Canis lupus familiaris: one gene and its partner. The protein of the gene in region 1 interacts with the protein of each later gene in a pairwise test. Links are inferred from orthologs where the notes say so. Each region holds a gene or a part of one and is shown on either strand. Other genes may lie near its edges. The genes, in order: DCTN2 and GADD45A.

Region 1 (4,554 bases):
CTTCCCGAAGGCTGCCCTTTTAAGGCCCACAGGGACATCCAGAGGCCAGAGACATTAGCTGACATCAGTAAACATCTCAGCACCCCACCCCTTCCTGAAGACGCTGAAGGTCCCCTCACCTTACTCACTCCTGCCTAGAGAAAAAGAGTCATTTAGCTGAGCCTTAGGTGATGGAGGCAACTCGACCCTTCTTGTATTTACCGCCCAGCTCCTATGCACTCCTATGCCGTCATCCTGGGTAATATGCTGCATATGAAATGAACACTTCCGGTACCCCTGCCTATCAGTTACCCCACTAGATACTACTGAAATAGGCTGCTCAGGCTCAGTGGGGAGAAACAGCCAATCAGGGTTGCACATTCAGGTGCTTCCATGCCTGTCATCTTCTTATTAAAAAATATCCCTATATTTTCAAAAGGAAAACTACAATGTATTTTTTGTTTTGGAATGGGGATTGTTGTCATGCTGCCCGTTTGTATCACAGCCAGTGACAAATGGAAAAACTTACATTTATTATCTCACCATGAAGGCTTGATACTTTATAGGCAGAAGCCTAGGCCAGAGTTGAACAGTCTCTGAAATGGGTCAGAGGACTGAGCTTATATACTCTTGTTCTGTGAAGTTAAGGCAGCTTCCTAGTAACATACATCTTGGAGTGATAGGTGTACACCCAGGTCCTTGAGCAATGACAACATCTGCATTATCTCCAGATACTCAAGCTTGGGGGACAGATTGACATGCCAGCAAGTACAGAAGCCACAAGGAACACATCACTGAGGAGACAGGGAAGGTGTTCCCACAAAGTAGGAAGCACTTCCACATGGGGAAAATCAAATAAGGAATAAGTGAGTACGCCAAGCCATACATTATGAGCCAGCAGCCAGCATTCTTCAGGACTAACCAGCCCCACAGACATAGCCACAGGACTTACAGACACACAGACGGAGCCTGCTTCATCAATGTGACCTTAGCCCAGCTCTCTTTGGAATAGAAGCCTAAAACACATCTTGTAAAAAAAAATGCTAATGGAACTTTGTTCCCCTTGGCACTTATAAACAAATGTTTACTATACTGATTTCCATTCACTCCATTTTGTTTATTCCACATATCCTGCATGTATCCTAACTCCCCCATGAGCCTGGGGCATCCTGGAAGGCAGGGACATTTCCTCCTCTGCATTGCACAAAAACCAACACAGAACGAACATATTCAATAAACAGTGCTAAAGCGGCTCCCCTCATGGTTTAAAATGAGTTCCCAGTGAATTTCTTCCTTAGAGTTCTTCTTGTATCTGAAAGTGCTAAGGAATCTCCTTTGCTCCTAGGAAATATTTATGTTTTCCCTCACATTTGTTTTACTCTGACTAGATCCCTCATCTTTCTAAAATCTCCACATCACTTTCTCACTCTTGGCTTGACAGATATTGGCTATTCATGTAAAAAAGCATTCCTCTTTACTTCAAAATCTAGCTCCTGGTAGGATACTAATGAACATGTCTCGAGTGAAACAGTTTATGAAATCAAAGGTCTAGTTCCTAACCTCAAGTAGTTTCCAAGTGTTCAGGCTTCACGATTCATTACCGTAGCCTAGGACCCGGGGGCCTGCCTAAATCACTAGCCCCAACTAAACTGTTTTGAGATATTTCGACTTTATTTAAAAAGACCCAAGAATCAGGTCTTGTTAATTGTAATTCCCTCCTTCCTGGCATTGTTCACTGGTGGCTGTAAGCCTGCAATCTACATACATCCCAGGCTGGGTTGGCATACCCGCTTATTGCTGTGGCTCGCCAGGAAAGGGAAAAGGGTCTGCCTGGGGGACAGAGGTCAGGGTCCGTAAGAGTCCTGAAGCAGCACATAGCCTTACCGCATCAAACTCTGCTTGATCATCTTCAGGTAGGTCGCTGGTTTCATAAACATCTGGCTCGTTCCTGGCCTGCAGACAGAAGCAGTGACCACCCTACCTCACTACCCCGCATCCACCAATACCCCTGACCCACTCCATCTGAGCAGGCTAACAGAGAAGGCAGGCTGTGCGGCCAGGATTCGGTCCCTTGTCTTCCCCCTGCCCAGTGAACCCTATGCCAGTTCCCATGTCTTAAAGGCTGGGGATGACAGGAGGCACAACTGGGACCTCATGATAAGTGGTGAGTGTCAGTGATGACAAAGATGTTACCCTGAATCTGACTGGGGGCGGACCCTTGGCAACTATTACGTCCGAGGTAGAAGAGGGCTGTCTTTGCCTTAGGCCCGTATCCCACTACCCTGGCACACAGGTGGAGAGTGACTCAGGACCTTAGCCCTCAAGGTCCTGTGGCCCAACCCCCACCCTTGAGAATGCAGGCAGGGCAGCCCAAAAGGAGGGTAACAGGCCGGCAGGTGCGGGCGGGGCGGGGGGTGATGGGGGCAGAGTTCTCTATCGGGCACAAGAAGGCTGCTGCCGCGGTCACCTCCTCTTCGGCAGCGTGGAGGCCACACCAAGTGGCCTGGTACGTGTGTTCGGGTGGGGGTGGGGGAGATCTGGGGAGACACGGGCGGTGCTGACACGCACGGCAGTAACACTCGGGCGCAAGTGGTAAGCGCCCCGAGACGGTTTCTGGGCGGAGAAATCGGCGAGGGCCGGGAAAGGGGCCTGGTAAGCCACTCCGCGACCGGCCAGGTCGGGAGGGAAGAGTCCGGACGGTGCTGGGGGCCGTCGGGGAGCCGGCGGCGGCCCGGGGCCAGGCCGGGCTGCAGGCCGGGGGGTCACGGGGCAGCGCCTGACGGGGGTCCTCGGAGGTCGGGGTGCGGCCCTGGGGAGCCGGGGCTGGCCCTGTACTCACAATGCCGGGAAGGTCGGCGTATTTGGGGTCCGCCATGGCGGCGGCGAGGCGGGGTTGGGGGACCGGGGCCTCGGTGGAGCCGGGGCCGGTGTTCGGGTAGGGGAGAGGCTGGGTCCGAGTCCCGGGCTAAGGCGGCGGCAAAGGGAGCGGCGGAGGAGGCGGAGGAGCAGGAAGTCTCGCGACAGGAGTCGCACAGGAGAGAGACGGGGAAGGCAAAAGTCGCGAGAACAGCCCGCTACCACACCCCTAGAGAGGCCGGGATTGGCGAGAACGCGGCCAGGGAGTGAGGTAATGGCGGGGGACGCCGCCTAGGATTGTGGGATTTGTAGTCTTGGCCCATTCCCCGCTTGGACGGAGAACGGCAATAACGCACCTTGGGGAGTTATTTCACACAACTTCTTTTCTTTTCTTTTTACATCAAGTCTCTGAAACACATTTTATAATTCCTGTTTTTCAGTTGAATACATTTGGGTTTCCAAAGATTAAATGACTCGATAAAAATAACGCATCCTGTTATGCCGTGGCACAGACAGGGCTTCAAAAACAGTAATAGCAAGTAAAATTTAGTAAAAGCTTAGTCATGTTAGGAATTTAAAGGATAAGTAATCTTCTCGAGTTGGAGCTATCAGATAAAATACAGGGCACCTAATTAAATTTGAATTTCAAATAAACAACTACTAGTTTTCTTTAGTGTAAGTATGCCTCATACCATATTTGGGACAAACTAACACACATACACTATTAGTTTTTTTTCATCTGAAATTCAAATTTAACGGGGCATTCTGTTTTAGTTTTTCAAACCTGGCAGTCTTATTTCAAGCTCAGAAAATAGTCAAGTGGTGGCTGTATGTCTGTCTGAACACCCCCTGTGCTCTTATGCACTTCACTAATAGTTTTCAAACTTCTGAATTTCACAGTTCGATAAAATTAAAACAACAGCAAACCTTTTTGAGGATGGACATAGCATTGCTACCTTTTAATTTTGCCAACTAACTGCATTAGAAAAAGAAAGGCTATTGTTTAACCATCATTTCTTACTAGAAAAGTAGGAAGAACATACTCTCAAGAAAGTCCTTTGACACTTTGTAAGTCTAGTTTGTGAAAAACCTACTGCATTGTGTGTGGGTGGGTTTTCTTGGGGGGGGGCGTACCCAGTAAAGTTTTTGTCCCCGACCCTCCCTAGACAAGTTTTTTTTCCCCCCTTTTTTTCTAGATAAGCATTTTTTGTTTTGTTTTGTTTTGTTTTTTGAAAGTCCATTAAGGCTACCACCCTAGAGTCCCTGGGGGCCTGAGTTTGGGATGTTTTCCAGAATGTTTCCTGAGCTTGCAGGATGCTGCAACACTTAGAAATAGTGCCAGACCAAGTGACTGGAGAGATGCTTGTGTTCCTGAGTTTGGAACTCATTGTCATTCTATGCATACTCTCCTGGCTGCTCCCCAGACCTCTACCTCTGTTTCTACGTAGTCCTCCTGGCTTGTCATCCAGTTTCTTGCGCTGGACCCATTTCCTTCAATTTCCATAAGACTCAAGGTGGGTGAGAGGTATAGGCCTGATGTGGGGAAGCCCTCAGCTGAGTTCTGAGCGGTTAGCTCTTGTCTGACCAGGTCACCATCCTCTCACTCTTGCCTCACAGTGTCCAAGTGACCTTAGACAGTTGCTAGGGAGAACCTCCATCCCCTCCTCCCTTCTCCCATCACCACACTCCTTCCCTTGGCCTGGAGCCTCAACTCTTGCA
Region 2 (4,411 bases), on another chromosome or scaffold:
CTGTTTCGAATGAGAGCATATGGGAGGCATTTTCACCACTTTTGGTGACTTCAATAGGTTTAAGACTTGTTTCTGCATTTATCGCATACACTCATAAAACAAAGGCGAGAACTTTCAACCTATGAAGTCAAAGTCTATCCACTGAAGTCTGCTTTTCAGAAGTGTGTTAACTTCTGCTTGCTTTCCACCCACAGGTTGCCATTATCTCAAAGGTGAAATTTTAGCGTATGACTAAAAGGTCCTATAGCTGCAGCTTCATGATTCAGCATCTAACATCAATAACTCACAGTGAGATCACAGGCTCTCTGTGGAAGGTAGTGACATACTTGCCTTATGAAAGGAAGCTCAGGGCATATTGAGAGTATTTTGAATTTAGACTTGTGTGGGCGTCAGACGTGTGTGTCTCTTAGCTGGGGCAGGTGCAGAAGGGTCCTCCTTTGGGAAAAGCTCTCGGGAAAGGTGAATTTGGGTCGTAAGTCTAGCAATTGCACATGCGGCCCCCCTCCTGACCACGGTTTCCAGAGTCACCCTGGGCAGGTGGGAAGCCTCTCTGCTTTCCGTGGAAAAGATTCCAGCTTGGTTCCGTGCCATTACCAAACACAAATGTGTTGATTTTTCTTTTTTGAGCTTCCAACCCTTGCAACCTTCCAAAAATAAATCAAACCAGCCATCAGGGCACCGAAATAATACTACTACTAATAAGCAGCTTTGCCTAGACTTACATAAACAACACTTCTGAAGTCAACTTTGCCCCAGAGGTCTGAAACACTCTTTTTATGTAACCTGCTTACTAATAATTACTAGACTTGGGTGCATTAGCCCTGGAAATAGACTTTAATAGCAACTGCTAAAAACAAAAGACATGAAACGACAATAAAATAAAAATGTGCACCAACCAGAAAAACAGTTGGCAGCCTGCTCGGGGCTCAAGTGGAAGGCACCCCTCTGCCCCGCCGCTGCAGAGACCCCCCACCCTCCTCGGAGCCTCCCACCGGATCAGAGTCGGCTCCGGACCCGCCCCGCCCTCCCCCTCCCCGCCCCGCCCTCCCCCTCCCCGCCCCGCCCTCCCCCTCCCCGCCCCGCCCCCTAGGCCGCTCGCCCCGCCCCCTAGGCCGCCCGCCCCGCCCCCTAGGCCGCCCGCCTTCCGCGTGGCTCCGCCCCCTTCCGCTCCTCTCCCCGCGGGTCCTGGAGCCGGGGTCACATGGTCGGAGCAGGCTGATTTGCATAACCCAATGGCTGTGCGCATGCAAATGAGGCGGGTGGTGATTGGCTGCGGTCGGCCCCATAAGGGCGGCGAGGGGGCCTTTGTCCCAGTGGCTGCGGCGGCGGCGGCGGCGGCGGCGGCGGCGGGCGCAGGGGCGGGGCGGAGCGGGGCCGCGGACGGGCGGACGGACGGGCCGACGGACGCGGTGCAGACGCCAGGCGCCGCGCGCCCGCAGAGGCCCGAGCAGCCCGCACGCCGCGCCCTGGGGCGGACCCGCGGCTGCAATATGACTTTGGAGGAATTCTCGGCCGCGGAGCAGAAGAGCGAAAGGTAGGGCGGCGGCCTCCCGAGCGCCCCCCGCCCGCCCCGGGCACCGCCCCCGAGGCGCCGGCGGACTGACGGACGGACGGACGGACTGACGGACGGGCGGGCGGGCGGACGCGCCCCTCCCCGCGGGCCCTGGCGGCGGCCTCGGGGAGGGCGATGGGGTCGGAGGGCGGCTGGCGGGCCGGGCCTGGGCTGACGCGCCCCGCGCTGGCTCCCGGGCAGGATGGACAAGGTGGGGGACGCCCTGGAGGAGGTGCTCAGCAAAGCCCTGAGTCAGCGCACCATCACCGTCGGCGTGTACGAGGCGGCCAAGCTGCTCAACGTGTGAGTGGGGCCCCGCCCCCCAGGCGACCCCGCGGAGCCCCCCACATGCCCCCGGGGAGCCCCCCCACCTGCCCCCGGGGAGTGAGTCTTACACCTGCCCCCCGGAGACCCCCCCCAGGCGACCCCGCGGAGCCCCCCACATGCCCCCTGGAGAGCCCCTCCAGGCGACCCCGGGGAGCCCCCCACCTGCCCCCGGGGAGTGAGTCTTACACCTGCCCCGGAGACCCCCCCCCCCCAGGCGACCCCGCGGAGCCCCCCACATGCCCCCGGGGAGTGAGTCTTACACCTGCCCCGGAGACCCCCCCCGAGGCGACCCCGCGGAGCCCCCCCACCTGCCCCCTGGAGAGCCCCTCCAGGCGACCCCGGGGGAGCCCTTCACCTGCCCCCGGGGAGCCCCCCCCACCTGCCCGCGGGGAGTGAGTCCTCCACCTGCCCCCGCGGAGCCCCCCACCTGGCCCGGGGGCGGGGGGCGGCGGGCGGGCGCGACCCTGGGACCCCGGGGCCTGCGCGCTCAGCCGCCCCCGCCGCCCGCAGCGACCCGGACAACGTGGTGCTGTGCCTGCTGGCGGCCGACGAGGACGACGACAGGGACGTGGCGCTGCAGATCCACTTCACCCTGATCCAGGCCTTCTGCTGCGAGAACGACATCGACATCCTGCGCGTCAGCAACCCGGGCCGCCTGGCCGAGCTGCTGCTCCTCGAGCCCCACGCCGGCCCCGCGAGCGAGGGCGCCGAGCAGCCCCCGGACCTGCACTGCGTCCTGGTGACGGTGAGGGGGGGCATGGGGGTGCGCGGGGTTGCACGGGGTCGGGGGGGTGCACGGGGGAAGGGCCGGACCGTCCTGGTGACGGTGAGGCGGGGGGGGGGGGGCGCGGGGGTGCACGGGGCTGCGGGTGGTGCGCGGTGGTGCACGGGGAAGGGCCGGACCGTCCTGCTGACGGTGAGGCGGGGGGGGGCGCGGGGGTGCACGGGGCTGGGGGTGGTGCACGGGGAAAGGCCTGACCGTCCTGGTGACGGTGAGGCGGGGGGGGGGGGTGCGCGGGGTTGCACGGGGGAAGGGCCGGACCGTCCTGGTGACGGTGAGGCGGGGGGGGGGGGGAGCACGGGGGTGCACGGGGCTGGGGGTGGTGCACGGGGTCGGGGGGTGATGCATGGGGGGTGGTGCACAGGGGTGCGGAGGTGGTGCACGGGGGAAGGGCCGGACCGTCCTGGTGACGGCGGTGGGGGGGGGCGCAGGGGTGCACCGGGTCCTGGTGCCGGTGAGCCCCGGGGTCGGTGGCGGGGCCGAGCTCCCGACCGCAGCCGACAGGTGTGGCCCCATCCCGGCGGGCGGGCGGGCCGGGACGTGTCCGAGCACGCGGGAGCCGCGGGGGAAGGAGCCTCGTGAGTCAGCAGGGCGGCCCCTCCCCACCTCCGCGGCGCTGCCTCCCGTGACCGACTCCCTTAGCAGGCAGATTAGGTTCAGCCAAATAAATTCCTGGCTCCCCCTCATTAAGGAGTCGGCTTCGTCCTCCAGCGCTCCAAGCTAAAAATAGAAGTGGTGTAGGAGACCGACCTTATTAATTCCCTAGAAATACACGAAGAGGACGGAATGGGGATTGTTTTTTATTTGCAATCTTGGATTTTTTTTTAATGGACCCCCCCCCCCCCCATGACTACCTTTGGTGGGAAGATGACTTGTGTTTCCAGAGATAAATAGGACAGTTTTGTCTTTTACATTCTGCTACTTATGGGCTGGTCTAGGTAAGTGGCGGCTTAATCATTTTGCGTGTCCTGAAAACTACCACCCTGTCTTTGGGGAGGATGACAGGTGGCAGTTCCAGCGAACTGTTAGGGGCTCGCCTCTCCCTGGGCTCGGGGCATGGAGATCTTTGTCCGAGCTGTTTCTCGCTCAGGTGGCTTCCAGGGGACAAGCCTCTGAATGCTACTCTGCTACTTTCCTGCAAAAACGCAGTAAACATCCTGCAGTCCCATGTACGCGGTGCGGAGGGCTGCATGCATGCAGGCTTGCAGGGTGTGCTTTAGAGCATTACGTAGTGGTTTCCCCAGAAATCAGCTACCAAGAAAAAAGTTGATCTTTTTATGGTTGTAACTGGTCTCTTGTCACACAGCCAAAGTACAGAATGCTCAAGTTGTCTTTCCCTCGAAATGAGTGTAATTATTAGCAAATGTTGCCTTTTTTTTCTTTTTTAATAGTAAATGTATTTTTCTCAATTTGTTTCCAGAATCCCCATTCCTCACAGTGGAAGGATCCTGCCTTAAGTCAACTTATTTGTTTTTGCCGGGAAAGTCGCTACATGGATCAGTGGGTTCCAGTGATTAACCTCCCTGAGCGGTGATGGCATCTGAATGAAAATAACTGAACCAAATTGCACTGAAGTTTTGAAATACCTTTGTAGTTACTCAAGCAGTTACTCCCCACACTGATGCAAGGATTACAGAAACTGATGTCAAGGGGCTGAGTGAGTTCAACTACAGATTCCGGGGGCCCGGAGCTAGATGACTTTGCAGATGGAAAGAGGTGAAAATGAAGAAGGAAGCTATGTTGAAACAAAT

The links.
Region 2: the proteins of DCTN2 (region 1) and GADD45A interact in binary tests that used the Homo sapiens proteins (3 or more experiments, as listed by UniProt). The link is inferred for Canis lupus familiaris from reciprocal best matches to the Homo sapiens genes DCTN2 and GADD45A.

The regions. Positions count from the first base shown.
Region 1 is NC_049231.1:1,985,281-1,989,834, forward strand, and holds the start of DCTN2 (dynactin subunit 2), read right to left. Parts: upstream 3,024-4,554; 5' UTR 2,855-3,023; coding exon 2,819-2,854; intron 1,933-2,818; coding exon 1,864-1,932; intron 1-1,863. UniProt on the Homo sapiens protein: Part of the dynactin complex that activates the molecular motor dynein for ultra-processive transport along microtubules. In the dynactin soulder domain, binds the ACTR1A filament and acts as a molecular ruler to determine the length.
Region 2 is NC_049227.1:77,928,917-77,933,327, reverse strand, and holds the start of GADD45A (growth arrest and DNA damage-inducible protein GADD45 alpha), read left to right. Parts: upstream 1-1,340; 5' UTR 1,341-1,490; coding exon 1,491-1,534; intron 1,535-1,753; coding exon 1,754-1,855; intron 1,856-2,389; coding exon 2,390-2,624; intron 2,625-4,080; coding exon 4,081-4,194; 3' UTR 4,195-4,411. UniProt on the Homo sapiens protein: In T-cells, functions as a regulator of p38 MAPKs by inhibiting p88 phosphorylation and activity.